Linked DNA regions of Notamacropus eugenii. The protein of the gene in region 3 interacts with the protein of the main gene of each other region in a pairwise test. Links are inferred from orthologs where the notes say so. Each region holds a gene or a part of one and is shown on either strand. Other genes may lie near its edges. The genes, in order: RBFOX1, VENTX, C5H1orf94 and BANP.

Region 1 (8,523 bases), on a different chromosome or scaffold from region 3:
GATAGTCCACATGTATCACTGAGTTATCCTTGTGGTATTAAGAGAATTCAAGGAAAGCTCTTAAAACTTTGGTACTACTATCTTTGGCAAAATTATAGAAGGATCTGGATAACAGTGGCAAAGGATGAGAAAATATGGATTAATTGCAATTCACATCAGAGAGAATATCCAGGACACTGAAATTATAGATTCATTGGGATATTATAGTATGAAGTCAAAACAAAATAACACTTAAAGAAAAATTGGAGTTTACTTTATCACCTGAGATAAATAGGTGGCAGAGGCTCCTTTGTAATACTATGGCAAATCCCATGAAATGGCAAGTATTTCACATGTTAGAAAAGCATTCTGGTCTTGATGGCAAAGAACCCAGGGCAGAGAGAAGAAAAGGAACCTGATATTAAATTGCTGTGAAAACAGAAGGCATTTGGTGATGGTAATATTCACTGATATAATTTTTTTTCTCCAGTACGCTGCTACAGGTGATTCTAATGCAATTGTCATTCTAATGCAAACATTTTAATATCATGTTTTTGGCTCAGTGTACCAGAAAGAAAGATAGCCAGTCTAAGTCTCTGACCATTCAGGGTGTGGAATGGAAAGAGACAGGTTCTGGACCAGGAATTTACAAATTATCATGCAGTTAGAATAAGAAGGGACTTTTGATTTCATCTACTACAACCCCTTAATTTTACATGTAAGGAAACTGAGACCCAGAAAGGGTAAATGACTTGCCCAAGACCATAAAGGAAAAGTCCAAACTATGATTTTAAACCAGATCTTCTGACTCCAAATGCAATAGTCTTTTTTCTGTGTCACTGTCATAGTGCTCTCAAATTTGGGGGCAGGGATAGCAAATGTGCCTCCACTGAAGTGCTAGCAGGATGCCTGATTGAGTCATGAAGCTACACGCAGGATCTTTCAGGCTATGGTGATAGAGATTTGTCCACTTCTGCCTGGCTGAAAAGGTTCTCAGCAATCACCTAACTGTCTGTCATCAGAAGACTGATGTTAGCAAATTCAGAAAAGCTCATTAATAAAACTTTAGATGCCATGGGATGAGTTGCTCTGGACAAAGCAACCTAGGAAACCAAAATCTAATGCTCAGGTGAGCCATGATCTTCCTAGGTGGAGAGGGCACCATCTATCCTGATGAAATCATGACCTTAATGAAGTATTAAAAAGACATTTTCCAAACCTGAATTCTTAGATGGAAATACACACTAATGTCACAGTTTGCAAATGGTAGCAACAGCCCACTCCTGCTTCCTCACAGCAATTTACCACACTCCACAAATATGCTGGCTGAGATGGTGTACCTAACGAATAAAACCAGATCTCCCAAATTTTTCAAAGAGCTCTTGTGTCTTCTAATCTATCACCTGGGTAATGTGTCCAGAGTGGCATTTTGTAATGACAGCAACATTCCAACAAATCAATAGTTATTTAATTCCCAACAAGCTCCCGAGTCCATTAAACCTGATTACATTCACCCATTTCAGTTGGGTGCAGTTATTTTTCCTACACCGGCACTTAATCTATAACAGGAACTTATGAGAACTTTCAAAAGCAATTTCAGCATCAATCAGCATAGAGTGAAAGGCACGATTTGCTTGTAATTATTTATTGGACAGGATAGCAGAGGGTCTGACAGAGCTCCTGGTCCTGACCTTCACCCAAAATCTAAAATGGAAATAAGAGTAGTTGCCTATAAGCTTCTAGTCCTGCCCTCGTATACCACAGGAGGACCAGTGGCCCGTGCTTGTTTGGACCAAGAAACACAAAGATTTCAGTATTGATAATGGCCAATCTCAGGTAGATCAATTTATTTCTACTTCATACACATGTGGCTAATATCGAGTAAACTCTCCAGTGAAGGCGCCAGCCAGCAATCTAGAATTATTGAGCTGTTCGGCTGTTTGGAATCACCCCAGGTTTGATATTCTAGCCAGCCTTTTGTAATAAACAACGGGTTACAATGAAGGTTGGGGGAAAAAATAATGTGTCTGCCCAACAGTCTGTGCTGAAGACATTTTTTAGTTCAACTCTAATGAGCTGGGCTGGACTTTATTCACTTCACTCACTCCCAAACTACAGGTCTGGGGCATGTGGGTGAGGGGGAGGGAAATCTTTTTTGTTGCTTGTTTGCTATGAATAACAATTAGACATTTTATTCATAATGTCTAACAAAGTATAATAGAGAAGGGTCTGTTTTAGATTAAAGGCAGGTGTAGGAAAAGTACCTGCTGGATAATAACCAGAAAATGTTAGAAAGACAGTACTGGACAATAACCATATGACAAAGTTTACAAAAATGTACCTTACAACTGAGTACCTGGATGTGTAGAATCATTAAACTTGAAAATAAGGAAGGGATATTAGAAATCATTTCACTCAACTCTCTCATTTTACATACGAGTGACTTGCCCAAGATCACACAGCCATATAAGAGGAGAGCCAGAATGAGAACACAGGTGTCAGTGTTCTGACCAGTACACAATAGACCAAAAACAGCAGCTTGCACAATTCTCACAGTGAAGGCCAATCTTTATCTAAACAAAATCTAAGTCCCTTGAAAACCTTTGGAAGAATTATCTGACGTACAATGCTAGCAGACAGTCTATTCTGAGCACTGTGATGGAATTAACTGCTAGTTAATTCCTCAAAAACCAAGCATGTTTCAAGTCACCGATTCCTTGCCATCCTTAAAAACTCAAAGGGCTGATTGTGGGGGTTCCTATAATGATCTCTAAACTTCATAAATTAACCATCAATGTATTATTCCATTTTACAAAAAAAATTCTATTAAAACAGACATTCCATGTGAAGTCGAACATATGAATTAATGCATATTTAATGTTACTCATTTTTGCTGGGCTAAAGCACTTAACTGAACCACATCATGGTAAGTTACTTTGCCTCATGATCTGCACTGGGAATGCTGAGTCCCTCAGAAAGCTGAAACGGAGAGCAAATCCTTTGCCCTGTGGTCAACCTCTTGAAGCAAAGGCATGAATGTTAAGCAGCAGGCAGATCAATACAAGCAAATATAGCTCAACTACACCATTTATTCAGCCATGAAAGATGTCAATACACAGATTAGGGTGATCCATCTTTTTGATTTCCTACTGTCTTCTCACTGACTACATGAGGGCTTTTTCCTGTATTAAAAGTGTTTGCTTTCTCAACCATAAAAATTCCAATTATTACTCTAAGTGCACCAGAGTTAAGTTGCTTGTTGGAAGCGGCCTTGAATTACCTGAACAAGTCCCGTGAAGTACGGTGCCGCGGGCACAATCATGGGCACGCCGTAGGGATGTAGCAAAACTCCTTGAGACGACAACATGGTTTAAGTGATTGTATTTCTTCCACTGAAGCTAAACACATCAATTGAAAGTTAGGCGAAAATCTATAGACCAAGTTCTTCCAAACTACAAAGCTTACAGCCAAATAACTTCTGTCAGGGCCCAACCCCTCGTCAACTCGGAGGGGAAAAAAATCTACATCAGCAACTCTTAATGTTAAAGTTTTCTTCCCAGACAACGGAGAGAGACAGCAGCTGCAAAGCTGGAGATACCAAAATGGAAGGTGCTATTTTGGGAACAGCTTGTCTAACATGACTAACCAAGTACTCTTTGTTAATTTAGCTTTGCAAAAAAAAAAAAAAAAAATGAGAGGAAGAAAGCAACAAGGTTTAAGATACTCCAAAATGAATTCTGCCAAATGGTAGATGGCTGATTCCACGTAGGGTTTTGGGAAGATACACAGAAAATAAAAAGTGAGAAAGAAAATAGAGGTTGATGTTTAAACTTGAATCACCTTGTTAATACATAGAGCCTTGTGCATTTATGAATGCTGATTTTTTTGAGAGACAGAGAAAACATGGAAAGCTGATTGATTGGGATAGGCTTTAGAGGGGTAATTTGACCAGTGTTATCGTATGTTCATTGAAATGAGTTTAGAGGTAAAAAGACTTTCTAATTGTTAAACTTGAACCTCCAATTCTGTCGCATTTCTTGATGAAAGATACTGTCAGATTCTGACATATAAATCAGGGTCAATATAGCATCAAAAATCTGGGTGCAATCTGAAAACCTCAGGTACAAATCTGGACCTTCTAACTTTAACCTATTTGTAAACAGGCAGATGAAGATTGACAGCATTTTCCCCCCAGTTTTCAACCAGATGTTCAGCACAGTGTAGACGCTGCTCTGTATTCACAATTCTGAAAGGCACAGATAGCAGCTGTGCTTTTTGATCCTCTGGTTTTGTCTACCAGGAGGGCAGGTTGCTATATTCAGATTTTTTCACTTTTTAGCAGGCAATTATATGAAGGTCCAATGTGCTGTGTCCACTTAGGTGATATTCAAGGTCAAGAAGAACTTAAAATAAATCTTTCAATAACACCTGCTGAATACATTCCAACTCTAACTATAAAGAGAAAAGATGACTGAAATATGCTGAAACTGGGCAAGTTAAAGAAAAGTACCTTAAATTACATTCCACTGTTGCCTTCTCATGAATCCAGGCACGAATTCCTGTGCTTTGAGAGAGTCAAGGTGTCTTTATTCTATACTAATTTTAGATCCTTGATTTAGCAGCATAATTACTTGTCTAGGTAACTATAGTGGACAATATTTGGCACAGATTTCCATTTAAAACTTGAGTTTTGGCCACACTGAAAGCTTTTCTACAATTGACGCTCATGTATCAAACGAGCTCCGGTTAGCAGCTGTAAGCTGACCCCTCTTACTTAACAGTCCGATATGGTTTCTAACTTTAGATTTGGAGCTGTGACTCCCAACATGGCATTTCTAAGAAGTTACCAGTGAGGACAGAAAAGTCACCATGGGATATAGCCATGTTTACCTATTCCTGGCTTCCATTTATAGACAGCTTCACTCTTGGATAGGGACAGGAGGAGATTATTACTTTCTGTTAGATGGTATTAATCAGTTCATATTATGTCACTTTATCGCTGAGTGGTGAAAACAGTTCCTGGCAAGTCATGAAACCAGGGTTCTAATCCAATATTCAGCACTTAAACATGCAATCCTGAACAAATTATTTCCCTTCCTTTGAGTCTGTTCTTTCAAGTACATAATAAAGGGGGTAATATTACTTACCTAGTAATAGGTTTTTTGTGAGTTAATAAGATCATATATGAGGAAATCTTTTGAAGAACCCTGAAGAGATATATGTTCATGTTATCATAAGGTATTATCTTTACTGATAGGTAACATGGCATTGTAGATAGAGAACTAGCTTAGAAGACCTGGGTTCAAGTCCTGTATGATAACTATAAGCCTGTAATCATGGGTAAGTGACTTTATCTCTCTGGGCCTCAGAAAATTCTCTAAGGCTCAAAGTCATAGAACTGCTGATGCTCTCCATTAGGGAAGGGAGTTTACTCACCACAAAGTCCTGATACTAATCAACTCATTGGTATGGGATGCCACACTCCCTTATTCCCCTTCCAAGAGCATATAAAATTGACAGTCACAAGGAATAAAATGTATAAAGTGCACCGCATTTGAAAGGTTTTCACAAAACTTTGTTTCTAAACTAGAGTTTTACCCTCACTTTCAAAAAATATAAACAGTAATATCTGATATTAAGACGGGATGCACCCAAAATCTCAGTGTGATCTTAAGCTATTAGCTTATGACTGCACTAAGACCTGGGAGACAGCTTCGATAAGTGCTATACCACTTATTTTTTTTGTTAACACATTATCTCGTTTGAGTCTCACAAGAACCCTAAAAGGCACAGGTACCATCTCTATTATTATTATCCCCATTTTACAGATGAAATTGATGTTTAGAGAAGTTAGGTGACTCCTCTCAGTTACCCAACTAGTTAGCACCTGAGGTAGGATTTGAATCTAATTTTTCCTGAGTCCAATTTTGTGCTCCCTCTACTACGTAGTACTACCTGTATTGTGGAAACCAATACCTATTGTAGTAAGTGTATTCTCTCATGTTTCAAGATATTTTCAAACTGTCCAAGTATATGATATAACTTCAAGGTCGGGTAGGTTGCAATTAAGGATAATTACTCAAAAAATCTATTTCTTTTAATGAGATAAGTCTAAGATTAAGGAGAAGGGACCTTTTGAATGGATGCTTACTTAACTCTGGGACTGCAGGGTAACATTCTGAACACAAATTTAGGACAACCTTTACTTTTCCAGAGATACTTCCTATCTCCATAATCTGCCTGTGATGGAGATGGGAGTGGTGGTGGAAGGATCTGATAATCACTAGAGAAACACATTCGCTACCTTTTCCACTAAGAATCTGAAACTATATTTCCAAAGAATGTATTCTGTATCATTATCCACTCTGAGAATAACAAAATATCCATTTTATCCAAAGTTTTGAAGCCAGTCTTCAATCAAATGGCTAATTTACATTCTTTTTGTTTTTTACTTTGCTTTCTATCTGTATTCTCTCCTTTCATGTTACTTCCTTTGTATCATTTGATGTATCCTTATGCAGTTTTTTAGGGATTTCCTTCAAGTAAAATTTTTCTTATAACTTCTTTGATTTTTTTTAGCTTCCTTTCCCTAAAATAATCCTCTTCTCATCTTTTCTCTCTCTCAATCCATGATCAAACTCCCTTCTCAGTTGTCGACTCTTTGATTCCCTTCTGTCACGTCTTCTTAGTTTAATCAAATCTTCCCCCTGCCCCTCTTTTCTCCACCCCCTTTTCTGTGGCTCAGAATACCCCCCCCAAAGAAAAACATGCAGAATTTGGGATTGTAAATGATGACACTATCCACCCCCATTCCTTCTGGGTGACAGACGCCCAAAGACTAAATGTCAGCTTGGAAGAGAAGAGAGCAGAACACAAAAACTAAAGAACAGGGTAAGGGTGAGGGGTAAGGCACTCTGATTATAGCTGTGAATATTTAGCAAAATTATGTGTGTGCACACATACACACATATATACACACATGTATGTATATATACACACATACATATGTATATGTGCGTGTACTCCAAGAATTACATTTGGGTGCATTTAGTTTACAATTCTCATTGACTAGCACTTGTGAAAGGGTATCACCACAGAAAATCCAAAATAAAGTATAATTTTTCAAAGCCTCACAAAAAACTGTATCTTACAGCATCCCATTAACCAAAACTTTCTCTTAAACAGAATGTTCCCACTTGTACAGAAGGATGGTAACTGATATCTGTAATGATGACCTGAAGGTAATGAAAATTCCTAACGTTCCTCCTGACCAATCAAAAAATAATTTATGCAGAGGATTGTTTAATAAATATGGCATTAAATATTTCATTTTATTGAAACCCAGAGAAAACTGATAATCTTTGTTTACCAGACTATGTGAACTAGAATATTCCTTTTCCAGTCTGGGCTGAAATATATAGAATCAATATAGTCAATTATTTGCAGCTTTCCAATATATTATGCTATGGGTAATATACAGGGAAGTTAATTGTACCAGAATAATTAAGAACTGACTATAATCACAATAGAGAGTTATCTGAGCATCTTCCAGTCATATTATTTGATTAAAGACAGCCCACATGACAATGGAGAAACAACCCTCCCACTTCATACCTAGATTATCAGAAAAGCTATTCCTTCAATTCTATTATATCTTTTACTTCCTAACTAACTTAAGAATCACTTCCATTAATTTGGTATTCCCAGGTGCAAAACCTTCAATGGTTCCCTATTCCCCTGACAGACTCCAAATACTTCCATCCTGCTTAGACCTCCATCATCTAATCTCAGTATATATTTGACCAGTCCCCAAATTGTGTCTTCCATTCTGGTCAAGCTAGTCACCTCACTGTCGCATATTATAGATTCTTTCCTATAGGTCAGATTGCTCCTTCTCAGCCCTCTTTGCTGAATCTTCATGAAGATCATGCCCACTAATCTTGAGTGTCCCAAAGGACTCTGTCTCTGGTGGTCTTCCCTTCTTTATTCAATTTCACTTGAAGGTCTCATCAGTTTCCACAGTTTCAATTATCATTTCTATACTGATCATTCTCAGATCTATTTAGCCATCCCAAACCTCTTTTCTGAGTTTCAACTGCTTAGTAGATATCTCAGACTAGACATCCCAAAGATATCTTAAATTCAACATGTCCAAAATGGAAATTGTTATCTTTTCCCCAAACCCTTTCTGACCTTCCCCCTTTTACTGCCAAAGGCACCACCATCCACTCAGTCATACAAACACAACTTAGGTCTTTCTCACTTTCCGCATATAATCTGATACCAACACTTCCTATCAATTTTGCCTTTATCACATCTCTCACGTATGCTCCCCTCTCTTTTTCTTTTCTGTCATTTTATAGCTGGACTGCTGGTTGATCTCCCTGGCTTAAGCCTATGACCACTCCAATCCATTCTCCACTCAGTTGTCAAATTAATCTCCCTGAGGCACAGATGTGACCATATCTAACTCCTCCCCATTCAGTCAACTCCTGTCACCTCCAGGATCAAATCTAAAATCCTCTGTCATCCAAAGCCCTTTAC
Region 2 (7,642 bases), on a different chromosome or scaffold from region 3:
TGCCCGGCCTCAGCTCAGGATCGGCCAAAAAAATAAACAAGCTCCCTCCCTCCCCCCCCCCCAACATTTCTTCCAAAGGCTCCACATTTTGGATTAAGGATGCTAAAACCAGGGCCCTGCCCAGCCAGTCTTTGATCTCCTACCAGAGGAGGGGAGGGGCTGGAAGGAAGTTGTTTGTTCCTGGGATTTGGTGTGTGGTGGGGGGAGCCCATCTAGAAAGCAGGCGCCAGCACCCCAGGGAGGAGGCCTGGTGACTTTGGACAGGACAGTCTGAGGGAGATATGGCCAGCCAGACCTTGCTGCTGAGTGGGACTCCTTGGGTTGGGGGCCACACCTGAATGCTGCAAGGCACCTGATCTGACTTACTTGTACCCCATCACCTTCCCCTGGATTCCTCTTCCTTGTATGGGGGAGGGGTACATACAGACTTACTGAAAGCGACTTGCGCCTTCCCCCTCCTCAAACTTCCCTCCCCCCTGCCTTTGGCCCCTCCAAGGACGGCCAGCTTGGCCTGTCCGTTGTGGACTTCTCTGTACATGTGTGGTCTCCAGAACTCTAGGAGAGCCAATATTATGGTAATAATTATAGCAATTAGTCTTTACAAGTTACCTACTATGTGCAAACAGAATGAGGTGGCTTGCCTGGGGTCACACAGCTAGTAATTGCCTGAGGTGGAATTTGAACTCTGCAACTCCAGAGTCAAGGCTCAGTTTTCTAGCTGAGGCATTTAGGGTTAGGCCCACCTCGCCGCCCAAATGCTTTACAAATGTCATTTCGCTTTATCCTCATCACAGCCCTTCAAGATAGAGACGCTGTTATTCTCCCCATTTTTTAGCTGAGGAAACTTAAGCAGACAGAGGTTAAGTGATTTGAGCAGCATCGCAGTCACAAAGCTAGCACGTGTCAGGGGTCACATTGACTCCATCTCATTGGACCACCTATAGAAGAGGAGCAGGCGGTCAGGTAGGTCAGGACAGGACAGACAGACAGAGATGAGGTGAAGGGCTGGGAGTCAGACCTGGCTTCAAAGCCCACAGGCTCACCTCCCTGAGCTTCCTCTATACCTTGAAAAGACTCGCACTCTGAAGTGGGGAAGGGGGCACAGGGGTCCCTACCCTGACAAATATCACAGCAGTGCTGGCCACAGGTGGTGCTTCGTAGGAATCATTTCCCACTTTCTCTACTGAGTTCAGGAGTGTTACATCCAGTAGAGGGAGCCACACTACCTTCCACTCATACAAGAAGAGAAAGAACCACCTCCCCCTTCTCCCCTCCTCACCTTTCTAGGATAGGTGACTGTGTCCCATAGTCCTAGCTCCACCGCAGCCTCTGGGAGAGATAGGCTAGGCCCCCCCACTACTAAAACAATTAGGCTTCGAAATCCCATTAGTCTGGGAAGTAAACAATGGTCTCATTCCTTTCCAGCCCAGATTCCAAGGCTGATCCTCTGGCCGTCACCCCTAGGACCAGGAATCCTGGGAAGTGGCTCCACTGGAAATCCACAATCAGTGAATGGGTTGCTTTGGCCTTGGTCTCCGGCCCCTCTGCCTATCTTGCCCAGGTGCCCACCAGAGAAGGTAAAGCTGCTTCTAAATTCCTCCTCCTCCCCTCCATGGAGTCAACACAAGGAAGGCCTTAAGGTGTCCTTTCAAACACACTGGAGCTGTCCAATAAATAAATGTGCTTATAAGCCTTTCCTAAGTGCCTGTGATGGGCCACTCAGCCCCGGATAAGCCTTTTTCAGATCACTCCTTGGTTCTGCTTGGTGTCACTGCTGGGTGCCCCAGAGCATTTCACTGACCACAGGCACAGTATTCTGTTTGTGGATGGGATGGGGAGAAGAAGATTGGTATGCTGGCTGTGTGACCCTTCATCCCCTCCCAAGCACAGCCTCCATTTTCTACAAGTTGGTAAGAAAATGGTTAAAGCTGTGAAAATGCACATGATTATCAGGCTGGGTCTTCCCAGGCCCTTCCAAAAGGGCAGGCTAACAATTCAATCACTTTATCTCTAATGAGATAATGTATGCAAAGTGCTTTGCAAAATTGCAACCAGAGGCTGTGATTATTCTGACAAGCCTGGGGCCCCAGCTGGGGGGAGGGGAGAGATCCATCCACAATTAGGTATTAAATGGGGTTGATTTCTGCCTCACCTTCTGCTAGGTTAAAACACGACACTCTGAGAATGGTCTTAAGACCCCCAGGACACCCAGGAGAGCTTGGCCAAGTAAGAGTGAACTGCCTTCCTCACCTTTGGGCTAACCCTCACCAGCTAGATGTGGACCTGAGACTCCAGGTCCCTTTTAACTGCCCCCATACTCTCTGCTGGCAGTGACAGGGACATCCAACAGTCTTGTATCTTCTGAGGATGTCAGAAGCCTGTTCTTTGACTACACCAGGAACTGTCTCCAGAAATAAGGGCGATCTCTCCCCCAGGATGTAATTAGTCAAATTCTAAACACACACACACACCTAATTTAGTGCTTAAGAACCCAGGCTGACACAAAATCCCAGAATTTTAGACCTGGAAGGACTCCCAGCTATTCTCTCATTCAACCCTTCCATTGGACAGTTGTCACAATCACAGTCAAAAAAGAACTTTAGCCCTTGGGGTAGTGATCCCAAAGCAGCACTGTACTTTGGTCCTTTCTCCTTAGCTTTTACTTTCCAAGATCACAGGAGTACAGATCTGGAGTTAGAAGGGATCCTTGAGGTCTTCCAGTTCGATCTTCCCACTCTACAGATGAAGAAATTGAGGCACCCACTTCAAAGTTAAACAACATGATCACATGAACTGCATTAAGAGACAGAACCAGGGTCTGAATCCCTGTCATCTGACTCTTTCCACTAAGTCTCAGTATTTTTTACTTACTCCCATATTCACTCTTTTTTGTCATTGTCTTTGTTTTGTTTCATTTCCTTCTAGTCTGCTGTATTCCTCCCCAGGTCTAGCTTGTCAACATTCTTCTTGAGAAGCTCCTTACTCTGGTTGACCAGGATCACAGGCTTCCATCAGGACCTGAAGAACCACCCTCCCCCAACCTCTACCATCTAACCCTTGTGCCTACCCATTGTCCAGGTGGTGAAGCTGAGGTCCAGCCCAAGAGGGGGGTGAAAGGACATGCTGAGAACTCACACAGAACAAGGGATAGGATGGAGCAGAATTCAAATGTATACATAGATACATACAAATCAATAAACAGTAAGCACCTACTATGTGCTATACCCTGTGCTAAGTGTTGGAGATACAAAGAAAGGTAAAAGATGGTCCCTGACTTCAAGGAGCTCATGGTCCAATGCAGGAAGCTACAAGCAAACATGCACAGATAACCTCGGTGCCAAATAAATAGGAAATAACATGGGGAAAGACTTCCTGGAGAGGGAGGGATTTTTACTTGGGACTTCAAGGAAACCAGGGAAAGCCCTGAGGCAAAGGTGAATTGGAAGACCAACCAGGGTTTTGGGACTGCCTGGAAAATGCCCAGAGCTAAGAGGACAGGGTCAGTTCAGGCTGTACCACTGCATCATAATGTCTCTCTCTCTTTCTCTTTCTCTCTCTCTCTCTCTCTCTCTCTCTCTCTCTCTCTTTCTCTCTCTCTCTCCTTCTCTCTCTCTCTCTCAAGGAGGTGATGTGGAAGATAACTAGAAAAGCAGGAGGGGCAACTTATGAAAGGTTTAAGTGACAAAGAAAAGATTTTATATTTGATCGTGGAGGTAAGGGTGAGCCGTGATTAGTCAGAGCTGTGATTTACAAAGGTCACTTTCACAGATCACAAGAGAAGAATGGACTGGAGTAAGCAGAGACCAGCAGACAGACCAAAACTAGTGCAGTCATCCAGGTGTTCGGTGATGAGGACTTGCACCAGGGTGGAGGTGCTGTCAGAGAGAAAGGGGCATATGTGAGAGATGTGACAAAAGTAAAACCAATAGGCCTGGTAATCGATTGGATATGGGGGGTGAGAGAGAATGAGGAGCTGAAAATGACACCTAGGATATGAGGATGGGGATGCCCTGCTGAGTGACAGGGAAGTTTGGAATCTGGAAGGGGCGAGTTTGAGGAGGAAGGTAATCAGTTCAGTTTGAGATTTCTACCGGACATACATCATAAGAAGCAGTTGGAGACAGACTGAAGGTCAGCAGAAAGGTTAGGACTGGATAAATCGGTCTGAGAATCACCAGCATAAAGATGAGACCTGAATACTTGGATGCTAATGAGATCACTAAGGAAATAGTAGAGAGATAGAAGAGTTAGCTTCTTAAGTGTGCATGCCCATGAGAGCACTGGAGAAGGAAATGTTAAAATCCCCCCCAGGATCTTCACCAAGTAAACCCCATGGATAGTATGGTCCATGGGGTCACAACGAGTTAGACAGGAAGGAACAACGATGTGTAAATGCATATATTTGTAGATGTGCATCCCTAGGGGAAAGGATGAATATTAACTCTAGAGGAGTACGCAGAAGTGTCCTTTCCATTGGTTTTATTATATGGGTTGGACTCTAAGGCCCCTCTGGAAGCCCCCAACCTAACCCACAAACCAGGTCAGTGACTGGGTTATACCTGCATTTATAGGCATGTTCTCTGCCCAAATTGTAGCATGTATTTCCTTGGGAGAATGGCTGGACTAAAGAAGTGGGACTTTCCGGGGAAGGATCTGCAGCTAGTCTTTCCTTGCAGTATTAACAGAGTACCTAGAACAAAGTAGGCCCTTAACAAAGGTTTTTTTAAACTATTTATTGACTGAACTAGACAGAAGCCTCCAGTCCAACGGACTTTAAGGGAGGGAGACCTGGAGGAGCCATTTTCTCGGCATCCTCTTTGGGCCAAGATAAGTGGGGGAGAACTAAGGAGTCCTCTGGGGGAGGAGGGAGGGTTCGGGGGGGGGCGGGGGGGGAAAGGAGGATGTAACTACTGGGACGTAACCACCCGGAGAAGGAACTCAGACATCTAGGAGCCAGCAGAAGTGCGAAGGGCCCCCGGGGTGGGGCTGAATGTAGGACAATTAGGTGGTACTTATCGGAGCCTTTGAGGTTTGTTTATGCAAGCCAGATTGGGGGGTGGGCCCTCAGCCGGCCCCGCAGCTTATATAAGTTTCACCCTGGCGCTCCCAGGAGAGTTAAAGTCCATCCTTTTTGGTGCCCACCAGTCTCATAATGACGAAGGCCCCATTTTCTGTGGAATGGCTCTCTCAGAGCAGCCAGAAGCCCTCACGCCTCGGCCAAGATGACTCAGAGGCTTCCACTGCAGGGAAAGGCCGAGGCGACCAGGTCCTTGGGGGGGATCTTATTTTATCGGGCCTTCCTGATACCTCGGGGTCAGAAGGCCCTTCTACGAGTTCGTGGGTCCCGACGCTACCCGCCGCCGCCGCCGCCGCCGCCGTTGTCAGAGAGTCTTCCTTAGTCAGTAAGTGCTTTCTCCAGGTGTGGTGGTCAATAGAGGAGACCCCGAACTAGAATGGGGTGTGGAGGAAAACCATAACACACGGAAAAGGGCTGTGTTTGGAGGGGAAGAAGAGAGAAGGCGGGCCAAGGGCCAGGGTGACTGGAAGGGACAAGGGAGACAGCACTGGACTGGACTGGACTGGACCAGGCCAGCCCAACAGGGGGACTTGCTGCTTCCGAGAAAGTCCGATTCCTGTTGGATAGCCTTTCCACCAGAAGCCAGGAGCGCGGAGGTCAGGTTCAAGTTGTCTTTAGGGGGCGAGGCATTTGGGGAACTCCTTGCCACTCAGGGCCACGTGTTTTGACCAGTAAGGAAGCACTTAGCCTACCAGCCTGCCCTAATTGACCCATCCCTACGAGAGCTAGTTGTCATTTGAAGATATTCCTGACCTCCCTACCAGAGCCGAAGCTCAGGCCCTCGGTGAGGGTGTGCCGACATGTCTAGGTGGGAAGGCCTAGACTTTCTAAGCGCCGCCTCACCTCTCTCCCAAGAATCCAGGTCTCTGGGCGAGGAGGCTTCCCCTGAGGTCAACAGTGGCAGCTGCGGGCTGTCGGAGGGCCCAGGCCCTGAACCCCATTCCCGGGGCGCTCGCCGCCTGCGCACGGCTTTTACGACCAAGCAGATCAGCACTCTGGAGAGCTCCTTCAAACGCCACCACTACCTGGGCGCTGCGGAGAGGCGCAAACTGGCCGGCAAGATGCAGCTGTCAGAAGTTCAGGTACCCAGACGGGCAGGGGGGGGGCTCCCCACTCCATTCCACCCCACCCCTCGAGCCCCGGTTCTGCCGCCAGCCTGCGGCGATGCTCAACTTGACTTTGACTTGTTGGGCTCCCGCAGATAAAAACCTGGTTCCAGAATCGCCGCATGAAGCTGAAGCGCCAGCTGCAGGATTTGAGGCCCCCCGACCCTCCTCCAGGCTTCCCCCTCCATCTCTACAGCCCCCTGCTTCTGCGCTCTACACCAGTCCCGCCACCAGGCCTGCCATACGTGTACCCCAATTCGCCACAGCTCCGAGTCCCCAGCCTCATCCAGGAGCCCTTTACTGGTGGCCTGGCCCTCCCATCTCTACTCCCTCTGCCTTTACCCCCCAGTTCCTGCAAAGTGGCCCCTCCTGCCATCCCGTCTGTGCTGGCCTGTTTACTGAGCGGTTGCCCAGACCAGGCCTCCTTCCTGAGGGCCTTGTGACGTTGGAGGCCTGCCCCTCTTTCGGGGTGACATTGATACTGAGGAAGGAGAGATGAGACTGGACAGGATAGGACATCTCTAGGAGCCAAAGTCTGACAGGACCTGGTGAAAGAGTCCTCTTTGTTCCACTGGAGGTCCTCAAATATGAACTTATGTATATATTTGCAAAATTTTGTCAAACTATTATGTACAGAAAGAACTATTTATGGAAATATTAAAGAATAGTTGATGTTTTTAACGTCTTATGTGTGCATATGTAATTTGTGAAAGAAACCAGTCCACTTCTGATCAAGATTTCATTCCAAAAGAAAAACAAGTTTGAAATCATTACAAAAGTGGGAGGTTTAGCAGCTGAGATGGGGAGGGAGAAAGACCAGGGAGGGTCATCCTTTCCTGTAGGAGAGTGTGGCATTTTAGAAAATAGGGCCAAGACAGAAGATGGAAAGTGGAGGGAGGTTTGGTTTTTCCAATGTGTGAAAAACATCATGGATAATAAGAAGGGAAGACCCTTAAAAAGTACCCAACAGAAGAGCATCTAAACCTGGAGGTAATAGGGGGAGCCAATTCAATTGGGGTAATGAGAAGGGAAGACCCTTGAAAAGTGCCTAAGCCAATTCAATTCATTGGCAAGAGGTTAGATCCTCATCAATTAATTAGGCTGAGAATTCACTAGGAGCCAAAGCTGGGGGTGTGGGGGGATCTGCTCCTGCACATTTTGGGGAGGTTAGGGTTGAGCAGAGAAAAAGGGAAGAAGGATACAGATTGGGGGAGGAATTCCATAAGTCAACAAATACCCTCCACTCAATTTGAGACCCCTCTAACCATAACCATAGTGTAAAGCAAGGGTTTTACTCCTATAATGCTGGCTCCTACCTACCTTAGGGGTAAGAATATCTAGATTCTACCTTTTAAAAACTGGAGGAAGCCCCCAACCCCATCTGGGAGCAAGTGGACTGCTTGCAACCTAAATCACTGAGTTTGCTAAACTCCTGTTTTGTTGAAGGCCAGAAGCTAAA
Region 3 (7,938 bases):
TCAGACCACAGATCATGCACACAGTCAGGTTAGCTTAAGAATAAATGAAAGCATGAATGAATGAAGCTTGTTCACATGTCAGAGATCTCCAGATTGGGGCTCATACCCAATGACCAAACAGTTCATAGATTTGGATTAATGCACACAGCAAAACCTGCTCCTATACCTGGAGAATGAATGAATGAATGAATAGATGAATGAGACTCATGCTCACAGACTAGATTGTTTCCCAGAGTGAGTTTCATGTATTCAGCTTTATCTGCTCCTAGATCTGGAACTAGATAACGTTTGCTAAATGAATGAATGAAGCTTGTGAACATAAATCAGAAAATTTCCAGGCTTGATCTTTATGACTATACAGGCCAGGCATTCCCCATACATCTGGCTCAAGTACATAGGCTATGCAGCTCCCAGAATGGGGTTCGTGTAGAACCTAAATACCATATTAGCTCTTAAACTTCAGACAAGATTATGATGTTTTGTCAGATGAATGAATAGACAGGAATATGGATGAATGAATGCATGAATAGATAAATTAATGAATGTGATATACTCCAACCAGACAGTTTCCTGACTGGGCTTCATGCACATGGGCTAGACATCCAGATCCAAGGTTCATGGATAAGCCAGACAGTTCCAGAACAAAGGTCATACACACAAGTCAGAAAGTTTCCATAACTGGGATTCATAAACACAAACCATTCACCTCCTGCACAGAAGCCAGATAACTCCAGCAACTGGAAGATTTGTCATAGTTTCAAATAAACTTCAAAAGATGGGGCTTCTCCTTCACCAGCAGATTCCTAGATATACTATGGTGATATACTTGGTTTATTCTTGAACAGTTAGAATGAGATTGTAAAAGACACATCTGAGCAATTAAAAGTATAATAATTTGCATTTTATACAATTTTTTACTTAAAATTTCCAACGTACTTTTATACCTCTCATCCCTTATCATCCTCACCACAGCCCTGAAGACAAATAAGACCAAGTTCATCACTCAGATTAAAGAAGGGGAAATAGAGGTAGAAAAGGGTTTACCAATTTGCCCCTGCTCACACAGGTAATCAGTGGCGCACTCCAAACTAAAGTGAAGATTTTCTGACACCCATACATTTGCACCCCAGTCCAATTTCAAGGTCCACATACAACACTGAAGATTGGAGAGAAGAGCTTGAAAGAAACAGGTTATTTGGGGAAACCAAGTCCCACATTAAAAGCTACCCATGGCTAATCCCAAGTGGATAAGTGCCACCTAGATGTTGCCTGTAGGTCTGTTTCTGCCAGTGGCAAGTGCCTAATCTGAAGTAGGAAGACTTCATCCCTTAGTCATCCAGAGGAAGTATATTTCAGTGGAAAGATCCCTGGAGTGAGAGGGCTAGAGTCTGAATCTAGGCTATACCACATGCCTGTGGGGCCTTAGTCGTATCATTTGCCCTTTCTGCTTCCATCTCTGTAAAATGAAGGAACTGGATGCTCTGCCTGGGACCAGCTCAGTATTCAGGCAGACTGGCCGGGAGCTCTGCATTAAGTACTGTTCAGCTGCACCGAGCTAGCGATATTTGTTTCTCTAATGCAGCTGAGGCAGACTGAGAACAGACTAAAGTGCCTTTAACTTCCTCCTCTCTGACAAGGACTGCAGAACAGGAGAGGTGGGAAAGGAGGCCGCTGAGTTGTTTGCATCTTCAGCCCACTGATGTGCTTAGGGCTTTCAGTTCTCTGGGATCCACAAGTAAGCTTTGCAAGAGCCTACGAGCAGTTGCTAACAGCTGGTCATTGCCTGGGTGCTTCTTGGATTAGCAAGCAAAGACTCCACCAACTCCCCAATGCCATTCTCCACTGTACAGAACCATACACTGGGGCCTGCAACACTTAATTATCACTTAGCCTCTAATTAGCACTTAATTATTAACACTTAATCCATCTGTAAAATGGGGACAGCATTATCTGCCTGGCGGGGATGTTTCGAGGAGTAATTAATTCAGGTTTGCAACACCCTTTGAAGACAGAAAACTTATGGAAAGACTAAATAGGGGCATGAATCATAGCCTTTCATTTTCTCTCTTGCCTCTCCCTCCCTATCCTCCAGCTCTTGTTTCACTGCTTCCTCTTGCCCTCCGCCTCTGCCCCAGTATAGACTCTTGGCACTCCCAGTCACAGGGTTTCCCAGCAGGAAATAGGCATATTTACAGCCATCTTCTAGAATGTGTTAATTTTCTATTATGGTCTTTGACGATGTCAGGGCTTTCCCAGTAAATATTTTGATGTGTGCTTTTGGAGAGGTTTCTGTAGCGGCTGAATGGGACAGCTGCTTCCCAAGCTGGGGGATTCCAGATGTGGCTCCACACCAAGAAGATCAGTTTATGTGGTGGGAAGGAAAGTGAACATCTCTGAAAAGCATCTCCCAAGAAATCCTCATCTCTAAACCATCTCTGAGGAGAACCTTGGGAATCCTGGAGGAAGGTAGACCTCTGGGACTGGCAGATCATACTAGCTCTGATTAATGCAACTTTCTTGCCTCTCGTATCCAAGGCTTTGGGAAGAGAAGTGTTATTAGCAGGCAAGGAAGAAAAGTTGTCCCTTTATCCCAGAATAATCCCCAAAAGGTGCCCCAACCCATCATTGGCCACAACTCTTCCCGAAGCTTTATTTCTTGCAGGCCCTAAGACTTGTGGACCTGCTGTGCTGATCTGTTGGCACTGGAAAGCCTAGAGGGAAATGTGAGGCATGAGGAAGGGAGGACATTAGGTCAGCCACCATAGAGTGGCTACAGATATGGAGCCAAGGGAAATATTCTCCATAAGCAACTGCCTCCCAAGGAATCAGACCTCTGATGCTCAGAGTCCCCCAGCCCAAGTTTCTGTCATGGCAGGGGAAAAACACTCACTCATCCTGGAAAGTGCTGTCGTGGTCTCGGAGGGCACTAGGTGGGGCAGAAGTGGGCTGTGCTGGTACCATTGATCCTGTCCTAGGCTGGAAGGCTTCTGGGAGGCCCTGAGCCCTCTTCCATATCTCATGGCAGGTCTTGTCCAGGCTGTCTTGAGGCGTGTCCTGGTGAATCCAGATATGCCTGGGGAACGGACCCAGGGGTGATGGGCGCTTGCTGGCCACCGTGGGAGAAGGGAGTCCATTCCCACTGGCCATCATCCTCCTCTCTTTGCAGAAGGGCCTTTGCCTGCCCCGGGCTCCAAGACAGACCATCCACAACCCCTCATTCACCAGAAATCGAGTCGGGGATACTGGAGTTAAGGGGTCAGATTTTTCTCTCTCCTCCAAGGACAATTGTTTCACAAGTCTATGTGTGTTTGCGTGTGTGTGTCTGTGTCTGTGTGTGTGTGTGTGTGTGTGTGTGTTCTGGGGGAGGGGTTGTTTTGATTTTTTTTTATTTGCTCTTTCCTTTTCTTTTGCCCCCTCCCCCCTCCCCCAGAAGAAAATATTTTAAAATAAAAGACAACAAACCTAGTAGCTTAGTAACCGTGGAATCCCTGGAGCACAGGATCCTGGCAACTGGGCCGGCAGAATAACAACTGGAGACAAGCTGAGAGGGGGAGTCAGGGGCCGGTAGGACAAGGAAATAGGGCAGCCGAAGCCCGGATAATCCGCCCTGCACTCCTCCATTCCCCCACGTTAGTTCAGTAATGGAACACCACCCCTCTCCCCTTTCTCCGTTCCTCTCCTGGCCAGAGGCGTTCACAACTGGGCAGTCCAGGCACGAGATCCCTTCAGGAAGGGGGTGGGGGTGGGAGAGAGGGCTCAGACCCTCCCCCATCCTCATCTGCCAACTCTCGAGCCTACTGCCCTGCCGAATCACCTACCGCCCCAGTGCACATCCTCCTACTGTCCCCGCAACCCCATCCTGGAGACGAGGCCGGGGACCTGGGGATAAGGAGGGCACTAGAAAAAGTCCACAGCTCAGGTTTCAGAGCTCCAGGGAATCTGCAAGTCAATCCTTTTCATTTTACAGATGAGGCAAACGAGGCCCAGGGAGAAGTGTCTAAGCAAGAGCACACAGGTAGGTAACAGAGTAGTAATTCGCACCCATGTCTTCTGACTCCCAAGCTAGTGTGCTTTCAATAGCAGTACAGAGACCCCCGTCTTCAGAGTGGAGACAAATGGAGAGCCCTCCGCTGCCTTTCCGCCAAACCTCCTTTACTGAAACACTTCTTCTTGACTGTCAGGAATGAAAACCCGGCAGTTCTTAACTGTCCCCCCCAGCCCCCGCAGCGCAGATACGCTGGGGTTTCAGGGAGCAGGAAAGAGAGCAGCGGCGCCCTGCGCTCCACTCCGCGCACGCGGGTCTGCGGTCACACTCTCGGCCCTTCAGCGCCCGCATTCCCCCAACCTGTGGTCAGCAGTGAGATTCTGGCACGAGTTTTTCAAACCCCCCACCTCCTGCGATCTGGGGCCTCTACCTGCCCGGGCAGGGAGAGGAGTCTGGTCTGGACCCGTCTACATCCCGCTCCTGCCTCAGCCCTCCTGGGGGAACTGAGTCGCCCCTGGAGGCAGCTGCTGTGGGGACGATGCAGCTGAAGAGGCAAGGAGCGGGCAGAGGTCCTATGGGGACCTCAGACCCTCGCCCATCCTCATCTGCCTTTCCTGACCCTCTCGAGCCAACTGCCCTGCCGTATCACCTACCGCCCCAGTGCACATCCTCCTACTGTCCCCGCAACCCCATCCTGGAGACGAGGCCGGAGACCTGGGGATAAGGAGGGCACTAGAAAAAGTCCTCGGACTTTTAGGGAGAGTTTGGGGCAACAGGCCGGATGACGGCCTCCCTTGCCTGGCCAGCCACGATATGACCCTCCTCAGCCCCAACTGCAAAGGTTCTACCCCACTCTTCCAATTTCAGAAACACTGGCTCTGCTGACGAAATGAGGGATAGCCTCGGGGGCTTTACCTCTTTCTTTGCTTCTGCCACTTCAACCTACAATTCTCCCCCATCCCCTTTTTTCCCCAGTGCTGGTGTCCAAAGCATGTTTCAGAGGTGGATGTATCCCCTCCTTCAAACCCCATCCGCAAATCAGGGTTCCTACGACCACTGGTCTTCTCACCAGAACCACTTGGCGATAGACAAAGCTGAGGGGCCCTAGCAGTCAGTCCCTTTGGGCCAACCTTCTATTCTACTAGATTATTCCTGCTAAAGATGCAGGAGAGAAGCCCCGACAACCCTCAAAGGTCCTCTTTGGCTTGGCAACGCATTATGTGATGCAGGCCATCAGATTTATTGGCTTAATTCTGTTTGGCTCATTTTTATTTTAAAATGAGTTTGCATTCCCCCAGCAGGCCCTGACAGTAGCACAGTCATGCAGGGTGAAGAGTGAGCCAGCCTGCTTTTCAAAGCTGCCCTATTACTGTCCAGTGCCCCAGCAACCTCCCAGTCACCCGGACTCTCATCATCAGCGTCATCTTCCACTCCTCAGTCTACTTCATTCCATTTATCTCAATCAGCTGCTAAATCTTGTCATTTTACCTTCACAAAACCTCTTTCCACACACACAACCACTCCCCTAGCACAGGCAGGCCCTCACTGACTCTTCCCTGGACTATTGCCATAGCCTTCTAATTGGTCTCTCTGCCTCAGGTCTCTCTACTCTGTCTACCTCACAGATGCCAGATTGAATTTCCTAAAGCACAGGTTCAACCACATCACTCTTTTCCTCAAGAAATTCCAATGACTCCCTATACCCCTTAAGATCAAATGTCAGCTCTTGTTTGCCATTTACAGTCCTTCATAAATTCTCTTCCCATCTTTCCAGACTTTGCTCCCTTTCATTCACTTGGTAGTTCAGTCATATTGGCCATTTACTGCTCCTCATACACGACATTCTATTTCTGCTCCATGCTGGCCTCTGTGGGTGATGTGCTCTCCTTCCTTTTGGAATTCTTGGTTTTATTCAGGGCTCAGGTCACGGTGATTCCTTCTACATGAAACTTTTCCAGATCCTTCCCCCCCCCCCCACCCCAGTTATGTTGCATTTACTCTGTGTGTATAGATGTAGATAGATGGATGGATGGACAGATAGAGATAGAGATATATGAACATACTGTCATTTCTACTGAGATTATAAGCTTCTCAAGGACAAGAATCCTCATCAATTTTGTCTTTGTATCATCATATGGTGACTGAATGAATAACAAAAGCTTGAAACGATTGAGAATAGAGAGTTATGAGCAAACGCTTCAGGACTAGAGAGTGCAGGGGGAAAGGAAAGAGCTGAAGTGAGCCTTTGCTTCTCTATGAACTGTTGACTCATCTTGCTCTCTTCATCCCCTCACTGAGCGTTGCTCTCCCCAAGTTAGTGAGGAAGCCAGGACCTCTTCCCGCCTCCCTTCACTCTTGCAGGATCTAAATCAATCTCCTCCCATCTCCTGGGTTCTCCCAATAATGGTCCTAACACTGTTGCCAGAGTCATTAAAAATTGAAGGAGGGGAAACAACAAAAGTTAGTTGCAAACAAAATGTGTCTGTGCTCATTAGATGCAGTATTTGTGTTGGCCTGGTTGTTTCTCAGGAGAAACTAGGAGCTCGGCATTGATGTTCTCTTTTCTGTGCTCTGGAGTCACTGAAACCCTAGCGTATCTTTGCTGAGCGCCCTGGGAGGTTCAGGAGAGCTCTGATGGGAGGAGGGGAATGGCGCAAAAGAGATGGTAAACTAAAAGTTCTTCCAGTTGCAGAATAGGTGGATTTCTGACAAAATTGTCTGGAAAACAGACCTTTGTGTTATCAAATCCTATTCTCACAGATTTTCATGATAAAGTCAGAGTTAGGGTGTTGTTTGCTTTTTTTATTGTTTGTTCTAGATTTGTGATTTTATAGGTATGGGGAATTATTGGTATTGAAAATCCCTCTGTGATTCAGATCAGCAGCACAAAAAACTGAAGGAGTAAGCCTGAGAGAGATATGGGAAGCCACATATGCCAGAAAAATCAGGCCAGCACCACCATCTTACCCACCACCGCCCCTCAGATCTTGATGGGGATAGCCTAGGTCCCTGAGCCCAAGAACTTTGGGAATAGCAGAACACCCAGACCTGCCTCCAGCCCCATCTCCACAAGCACCATGGAAGGGAGAAGTCATTGTGAGGAGAGGATCTACCTTCCTCATCATGGCCAGCAACAGCTACTAACCAATGGCCACCTACAAGCAGGTAGACACAGGGGCCCTGGGAGTGGCAGTTCCTTCCAGATCTTCCAGCCCAGCCTTCCCAACCATCATCCGAAGAAGCAGCTCTTATGTAGATGGGGCCAGTCATCCTTAACACTCAGGATGGACAAGCTAGCTTAGCTGAAGCAGCAAGGCACCTTGAGAGAGAGATGGGAGGCAGAGGGTGCCAATCTAGTCAGACCACCACCACCTAGACTACCATGTCTCCTTAGAACTGGATGGAGACAGCCTAGGACCCTACATCCAAGAGCCCTGGACATGACAAAGCTTTTACTCCAGTTCCCTCGGCCGTCATCCTGGGAAGCAACCCCTGTGGAGTTGCAGCTTTGCAGTTGCCCCTTCTGGTGCTGCACCCATTGCTACTTAAGACCCGGAAAATAAAGTTCTTCCCAGAAAGGTCTTAGAATATGAAATAGTTCAACATCAGATACTGATATTTAGCCAGTGGAAATACGTGTGTGTGTGTGTGTGTGTGTGTGTGTGTGTGTTCATCCTTCTTTGCCAAAGAAGACTATGTCATTGGAGAAATGATGACATGACTTGCACTTGACTTTGTTTTGAGTGAGGGAGGGCTGTGCAGGTCACCAACCTTGCTTCTCCTCCAGAGCCATCTGAATCCAATGACCAGCTATTCATCAGGATGACTGGAGATGACTCAGGATGAGACAACTGGGGTAAAGTGACTTTCCCAAGGTCACACAGCTAGTGAGTGACAAGTGTCTGAGGTGATATTTGAACTCAGGTCCTTCTGACTCCTGCACTGGTGCTCTA
Region 4 (7,892 bases), on a different chromosome or scaffold from region 3:
TAATCTAGCTTTTCCCAAGACAACTGGTTTGGCAGAGTCAAAGTTCAGCCATGAGTCATAATTGGGCCAAAGCCATTCAGATGACTTCTCACCTAGAAGAAAAAAATTTTCACAGCCATGGAGTGCAAACCTAACCCACCACAATCCCACAAATATTTCTATTATTGTAAACAAATAATCAGAATTTAGGAACTACAACTATCCTTAGAGGCCTAGTCTAAGCCCCACACGTTTTCAGATGAGAAGGGTACTGAAAATTAAAGACTAAGTTACCATTCCAAGTCACTCAAGACAAATTAGACTGCCAGAGTCCCACCTCTGGATTCCTCCAGTCAAAGCTCTTTTCACTGGGCAGTACTTCCCCTCACATCTCACACCTTGGCAGCATAATTATCAAATGAGATGATTTTTATAAAGTGTCCAACATGTGGTAAGCACTTAACAAATGCCCACTCCCTCCACCTACCCACCACCTTCCCCTCTCTTTCAGGAATTTTTTTTTCCCTCCCAGGTGAAAATGTTCCCCTCCTCTTCACAAACTAAAAGTTCTTATGTTAAGAACACATCCATGAGGGACCAGCTGAGACATAATCAAAGTTTGATGTGGCCAGGGGTTCTCAACACTCCTCCACCCCCATAAAGGGTCAGCTCTGGCAAGTGCTACCAGAATGCAAAGGTTCTAAGGATGGACCCAGTTAAGATGCTGTTACACTGCAAGCCAAAACCCAGAGACCTCAACAAGCTGGTAGCATTGATTAATTCCTTAGCAACGACTGAAAACGAACATGGAGAGAAACTGCAATCCACATTTATGGAAGGAGTACCAAACTAAAAAAATTATACTTAAAGTATGAGTATTAAAATACATCTCAAGAATAATCATGTTGTGGGTGTATATTTGTCTGAATTTTGCCCCAGTTTACCAAAAGTGAAAAAAAAAATTTAAACCTGACCAAAGCAAAAATCAAGGCTAAGATTCAAAAGAGCCAAATCAGTATACCCAAAAATAATGAGGTGAGGCAAAAAGTCAGCTATTAAAATCACTGAAGGAACTGTTTTGAGGCTCTCTACAGATCCTTCCATTTCTAAAATTCTATGATTGTCTTTCCAAAATTCAAAGTAGGTTACATCTTGATTTCTTTTCTGAAACAGACTAAACATAAACAATCAGTAACTCAAAGATCCATGTATCTTATTTAGGGAACAAAGTTTCACAAGTTTCTTTATACTTTAGATTTAATATTGTTCCAATTCTAAAAAATTCCACCAACATAACTTCTAGTATACTCTTCATACAACCATAGAATGTAATCCTCCAATGAGACTACTGAGCTAAGACTTTACAATACACCAATCTAAAATGTGAAAACTGAGCATGAAAGGAAAAACCTAGCCATCTGATATTCACACCTTTTAACACACTGTCTAATTACAATCAGTCTTGTTAGGCACCACAGTATTAAAGTGAGTTATCCCTTCTCCAAATATGCTGTAGAATAATAGTTCAGAAACTGGAAAGTGCCTTTACAGCTCTGTTCAAATAACATTAAATATTCCCCAATCTCATCAAAATTATTTAAATTTGAACTGCCTTAGAAACCGAAACTCACAAAAAAAAGTATTATCTGACAGAATACTGACCAACAGTATAAATATAGTAGAGAAGCTCAATAATCACAGAATCAATCGATAGTAATTTGACTTTCAGGTATTTAATTATATAAATCCCGATGCTTTTATAATTTATCCAAATTCCTTTTCTAATACAAACTCTGCAAAGTCAGTGGTGGGGGGAAAAAAAGCAAAGGCAAACAGCTAATTTTCTTTTTTTTTTTTTTAAGCATAAAGGTTTTGTTTGCAAAGCCCAACTGAAGAAACTGAGGGCTTTGAAAATGTACAAAAGTGGGTCACAGACACGTGGACTGTTTACAATACACAGAGCATCAGGTGAGCTGGAAGAGAAACGCAGTTATCTGTATGTTTGGGAAAGAAGGGGGGGAGGTAGGGAGAGGGTCATGAATAATTCACTAAACAATCTTCTCCAGTCATTTCAGGGGGGAGGAGGCGGGGAATATTCCGTTTCCCAAATGACTCCCGATCTCAGGCACGGCCTAGGGTTTCCTAGCTGCACGGCTTCGGGTCACTTCACTTTCCCCTCTCGAGGCCTCAGTTTCCCCGCCTGTAAAGTAGGGGTACTGGACCAGCTCATTTCTAAGGGCCCTTTTTCACTTCACAAGCCATGCTAGGGAAGCCTCCTCCCCTTCGGGCCTCAGTTTCCTCATCTGTAAAAGAGGCGGAGGCTCCCCCAAAAGGGTCTCGATCCCTTGAGCCCAAAGGGGAGGCCGCCTCCCTGCCCGGGTCTCAGTTTCCTCGTCTGTCGAGGAGGGGGCTGGGCGGGACTCCCGGTCCCTGGGGCCGCCGCCGGGCCCGAATCCTGGGCTGACCGCCCAGGAAGCGGCCGCCGCCGCCGCCTCCCCCACCCCCGCCCCGGTATTCGCCATCCCCAGGAAGCGAGCGGCCCGAGCGAGGCCGCCGTTGGCAGCAGGGCCTGGCGGGCCTGGCCGGGCCTACGCTCCCGCTCCCGGCGGCGGCGGCGGCGGCTCCGGTCCGGGGGGGCGCAGCGAGGCCCGGACCCAGACGCACCGGGGCTGAGGCGGACGCCGGGCCGGGCGGTGGGAGCTGGAGCTGGGCCCGGCCAGGCCCGGAGAGGAGAGCAGGGGAGAGGCGGGGGAGGGGGAGATCTCGCTCTCGCTCTCGCCCCGCGGGAAGGGGGGGGAGGTGGAGACGCGACCGGCTGCGGGAGCTGCAATTACCGTGTGGGCTGCGGAATTCTCGTGGTGTTTGTCGGGGAGATGCGATAATGGCGTCCGTCCTCGCGAGAGGAGCTGCTGCAATGCGCAGGCGCCGCGATTCCTTCCCCCGCGGCGATCGTCCTCCCAAACCTGCGCAGACGCGTTACCCCCACCCGCCAGGAGAGGGAATAGGAAACGACGCGCGAGCGCCGGCCTCGTCCCTTATCTTCGTGCGCGCGCTTTCACCTTAACCTGATCCCGCTCCCTTTAGTCACTACTTCAGTCAGAGCGCATGCGCACCTCTTCCCAGGCTCGTCCCGTTTTGATTTTCCAGGACCCACGCAAGCGTGTGCTCTCAGCTTCTTCAGCCGACTGTAGAAAAGGGCGGAGAGTGTCATTTAAATGGACTGATGAAATAATTTGATTTATTGGCTTTTGGCTTTGTTTACTGCTGTCGTTTCCCACTCCCAACCCCCACCCCGAAAGAACCACCAGGGCAATACTACAAATCCCAGGATGCATGGCTCTCGGCATAAGGTGCATCCTGGGACTTGTAGTCCATCTGTGTCATTATGTTAGAGAGCATGCTGGGATTTGTAGTCTGCTCATCCTGGCCCGTTTTCCCACTGCATGGAATGCTGGGACTTGTAGTTAAGTTAATTTAGTTATTAGATGCCTCCAAAGTGATTTTCAGTATTTCCCTCTGTCCTTCCTTTACCCTGTATTTAGACCTTTGGAGGCCTTGTCTGGAAGCAGGCAGGCAGATGATCAGATGACCTGGGTCCCTTGATGGAGATCTCTCTAATTGGTGAATTTGTCTGGAAGGCTGCACCTCTTTGGAATTAATAACCAGTCAGGGATGTCAGCATTTGGGGCCAGAGAAATCAAGGACCAACCTCCTAAATTAACAGAGGAGGAAACTAAGACACAGGGATTTTAGAAGTCATTCCAACATTATATAGATGGGATGACCTCCATTTTTTTTTAAAGGTTTATTACAATCTTGGCCACAAAAACACACATGTACACTCTATACTTTTCAAAGGCATACTTTTTACAAAACCACTTTTTTCCCCTCAAAATTCTTCTCTGTAACCACTTTACTTTTCTGAAAAGGTTTTAAGGTTTTAATTTTATACCTTTTTAAGAGACCCTAGTAAACAGTCCTCTACTGGCTTGTTTTACAGTGTAGGTACCACTAGTTTTGTATATAAATTTGGATGTCATCTCTCTCATTAGATTGTAACCTTCTTGTGGACAGGGTATGTCTTTTGCCTATTTTTGTGTCTCCGACATTTAGCACAGTGCCTGGTACATAGGTGCTTTGTTCTCAAAGAGGACCATGTTATCAAGATGATGATATGACTTCCAGTTGACTTGGATCTGAGTGAGGGAGAGCTGTGCAAGCCCTGGATAAGTGTTAAATGATTGATATTTAACAGATTTCATGCTATTTCATCTGCTCTATGCCAACCAACACACTCTGCCATCTTCTCCAAGTGTTTGAAGAACTGTCAGTGTACAAGTCTTGTATTGCCCTTCAACATAGGTCAATTGGGAGAAATTTCAATATGATCTGATGCTGAGCGAAAGGAGCAGAACCAGGAGAACTTTGTGCACAGCAACGACCACAGTGTGCGAGAGTTTTTTCTGGTAGACTTGGATCTTCATAGCAATGCAAGGACATTAAAAAAAAAAAAATCCCAGTGGTCTTCTAAGGCAAAATACCTTCCACGTTCAGAGAAAGAACTATGGAATTCAATTGCAGAAAGTAGCAGATCATTTGTGTGTGTGTGTGTGTGTGTGTGTGTGTGTGTGTGTGTGTATGTATTATGTTTTGGTTTGTTAGATGATTTCTCCCATTTATTTTAGTTCTTCTACACAGCATGACTATAATGAAAATGTATTTAATACGAATGTATGTGTAGATCCTATATAGAATTGTATGCTGTCTTGGGGAGGGAGGGGGATAATGGGGAGTAAGTAGGGGGAAAAATCTAAGTTTTATGGTAGTGATTGTAGAGCATTAAAAATAAATAAAATTTAAAAAATAAAATGAAAAAAAAGAAATTTCACAGTTGAAATAATGAGCTTGTCTTTACTCTCCAGCCCAAGTGCCCCTTTCTATAAAAGACTTCACTGATTCCCACTAGGTGTTAATGCTCTTTCCAAACTGATGACAGAGATTTTTGTCTTTGCAGTCCTAGCAACAAGCACAAAGCTTTGAGCATAATAAGCATTTCCTAGGTAAATGCTTGGTCAATGGAATTGTAGAGGAGATGGATTTTTTCTTCTAATTTCTGCTGAGTCACAAGATGAGGAATGGGCCGTACATTTTCAGACACTAGCCAATGTGGGCATTTTTCCCACTGGACTAGGCATATTGTTACAAGGGATTCATTATTTTATTCCAGTGGGGGTATGGGGATGAAAGGATGAAGATGGAGATATGGATAGAAAGGAGGAGAGAAAGGAAAAAAAATTTTTTTTAATTTTAATAGTGGAAAGAAAAGAAGGTAAACCAAGCAAGCAGGACAAGCCTTAAAAGCTACAGGTTGATCTTATTATAGACTTTAAAAGAAAAGTCAGCTGTATCCTGTAGTTTCAGGTACAATCTTCTTTTTCTGTTCTAAAAGGTATCTCAAAAATCTTAGTGCAATTTAAATGTCCATTCCATTTGATGTTTACTAAGATTATAATAAAGATAAGAAGTAATTTAACATCTGTTGACAATCTAGATGCCCACCCCTCACCCCCTGATTTATGTCATGGCATTCGATCTTTCTAGTCTTAATGACTCCTAGCATACAGACTTGGCACCTTAATTAACTGCTGACTTATCCCCTACTCCAACCATCCTATGCATCATTACCACTCAAGCCCTGCAAGTCCCTTGAGGAACCAGGGACCCTAAAATTTCATCTTGGAAATTACAATCAAGAGAAACTTTTTCTCAATCAATATATTTACTATGCCTTTGGAGAGAGTGCTAAAGCTTTCCTACGCTCATTAGATTGTAAGATCTATTAGAAGAGGGAATGTCAGGTTTTTTTTCTTTTTTAAAATGTCCAACCACGTAGCACAATGCCTTATGCATTGTAGGCATTTAATGAATATTTACTGGATTTAATTAAGCTATTTCCTGGGTGACTTGGATTTATTAGTTTCTTTCTCTGGTCTTCCTTTTCTCTAACTATAAAAAAGAAATATTTGCTCTAACTATACATTACAAATTGCCTATGAGATATTTCTAGTTGGGTATCCTATAAGCATCTCAAACTCAATATGTCTACAACACAATTCATTATTTTCCCTCCCAAATCCACCCCTTTTCCAAACCTCCTTCTTTCTAGCTAGATTACCACCATCCTTTCAGTTACCCAGAAGGAGATGACAAAAATCTCTCCAGTATTTTTGCCAAGAAAACCCCAAATAGGGTCATGAAGAGTAAGACATGATCAAAATGACTGACAACAAAAGTCCCAACTGACCGTCTCACTAGCCTATTCAAGAAACTTCAATAGCTCCCTCTGACCTCTAGAAACAAATCTAACCTGTGGCATTTAAGGTCCTTACCACGAGATTCTCACTTACCTTTCCAGATCTACTGGAAGGCAGGGACTGTTTGTTCCCCTGCTCTCCTTGTATCCCCAGTATCTAACACAATTCTTCCACACAGTAGGTACCTAATAAATGCTGTTGGTTGATTAGATTATTTCTAAGTTCCTGAATCCTATCATCCTATAAATTTTCAATGCAGTTATATACAATGCCAATTCAACTAAACTCTCCAAAACTGTCAGATTTTTGCTTACTGAAGCCTTTTCAGGGATAATTGGTCATAAGGCTCTGTCTGGTCTCCATGGGAAATTTTCAATTAATGTTAGCACTGATTAATAACTAAATGAATGAATTTTTTAAAATTTGACTAAGTGCTTATTATGTGCTAAGTACTGTACTAACGGCTGAGGATACAAATACAGAAGCTTATATTACAATGGGGGAAAACAGCTTAGCAGAGTGGTGACAAGGGATTACTGTATGTTGAATGGGATCATAGGAGAGAAGATTGGACTGATCCCATCCAGGAACAAGGTTGTTGTGTTTGTCCTTTGTTGCCAAAGAAGACCATGCCATTAGAGAAATGGTGACATGACTGCACTTAACTTTGTTTTGAGTGAGGGAGGGCTGTGCAAGGTCATCAGCTTCACTTCTCCTCCAGAATCATCTGAATCCAAGGTCTATTCAGGTACTCACCTAGGGTGAGGTAATGCCCATTCATTGAATAAGTCTGTTTAAGAGGTAGCCAGGGGTTGGCCCCTTTAATGAGGCAAAGAAAAATGAAGATATCAGACTGGGAGGGAAACAGCAACACTCTGACCCAGGAGGGTCCAGAGGAGAGCCCTTAGACAGGTGCCTAGTGTTGTCCAATGGATGAGCTTCAGAGTGCAGTAGGTTTAAGGTTTTGGGAAAGGAAAGGAGAGAAGAGGAGAGGAGAGAGGAGGGGAGAGGAGAGGAAAAATAAAGGAATCAAGCCAGTAAAACAAATATATCTTCCTTTGGAGAGGAGAAGGAAGGGGAAGGGGAGACAGACAGAAGAGGAGGAGCTGAGTTACCTAGCTAGCTGAGTCCCCATTCAGGCAGCCTGGGTGGGCTTTCCTGAAATTGTAATCCCAGAAAGACAGTCATCAGTCAGGCTGGTTAGAATTCACATGAAAGTCCTTCAGGGTATAGTCTCACCCCAAGACTACCATATAGTGTAGGGCAGTGATATCAAACTCAATTAGAAACATCCCTGTGGGTAGCATAATAACTTAGAAAAACATAAATTAACATTATTTATGCTTTATTATATTTTTATCTTATTAAATAAATCCCAATTACATTTTAATCTAATCTGGCCCCACCTGGGAGTTTTGCAAAGTGCAACTGGCTGAGTTTGATACCTCCAGTAGGGGGAATGTGTGGGAGGTATTAAAATTCAAAAACTATAGTGCCTCTAGCACTTACTACTTGTGTGATCTTAATCAAGTCTATTAACTTATCTGGATCTCAGCTTCCTCATCTGTAAAATAAGGGGAGTTGGATTATCATTCATCC

The links.
Region 1: the proteins of C5H1orf94 (region 3) and RBFOX1 interact in binary tests that used the Homo sapiens proteins (3 or more experiments, as listed by UniProt). The link is inferred for Notamacropus eugenii from reciprocal best matches to the Homo sapiens genes C1orf94 and RBFOX1.
Region 2: the proteins of C5H1orf94 (region 3) and VENTX interact in binary tests that used the Homo sapiens proteins (3 or more experiments, as listed by UniProt). The two-hybrid records come from large-scale screens. The link is inferred for Notamacropus eugenii from reciprocal best matches to the Homo sapiens genes C1orf94 and VENTX.
Region 4: the proteins of C5H1orf94 (region 3) and BANP interact in binary tests that used the Homo sapiens proteins (3 or more experiments, as listed by UniProt). The two-hybrid records come from large-scale screens. The link is inferred for Notamacropus eugenii from reciprocal best matches to the Homo sapiens genes C1orf94 and BANP.

The regions. Positions count from the first base shown.
Region 1 is NC_092872.1:85,127,051-85,135,573, reverse strand, and holds the start of RBFOX1 (RNA binding protein fox-1 homolog 1), read right to left. Parts: upstream 3,435-8,523; 5' UTR 3,347-3,434; coding exon 3,260-3,346; intron 1-3,259. UniProt on the Homo sapiens protein: RNA-binding protein that regulates alternative splicing events by binding to 5'-UGCAUGU-3' elements. Regulates alternative splicing of tissue-specific exons and of differentially spliced exons during erythropoiesis.
Region 2 is NC_092872.1:291,926,234-291,933,875, forward strand, and holds VENTX (homeobox protein VENTX), read left to right. Parts: upstream 1-5,109; 5' UTR 5,110-5,152; coding exon 5,153-5,402; intron 5,403-5,932; coding exon 5,933-6,159; intron 6,160-6,278; coding exon 6,279-6,626; 3' UTR 6,627-6,864; downstream 6,865-7,642. UniProt on the Homo sapiens protein: May be involved in ventralization.
Region 3 is NC_092876.1:85,488,297-85,496,234, forward strand, and holds the start of C5H1orf94 (uncharacterized protein C1orf94 homolog), read right to left. Parts: upstream 3,428-7,938; 5' UTR 3,205-3,427; coding exon 2,891-3,204; intron 1-2,890.
Region 4 is NC_092872.1:703,794,339-703,802,230, reverse strand, and holds the start of BANP (protein BANP), read right to left. Parts: upstream 3,041-7,892; 5' UTR 2,814-3,040; intron 1-2,813. UniProt on the Homo sapiens protein: Controls V(D)J recombination during T-cell development by repressing T-cell receptor (TCR) beta enhancer function. Binds to scaffold/matrix attachment region beta (S/MARbeta), an ATC-rich DNA sequence located upstream of the TCR beta enhancer.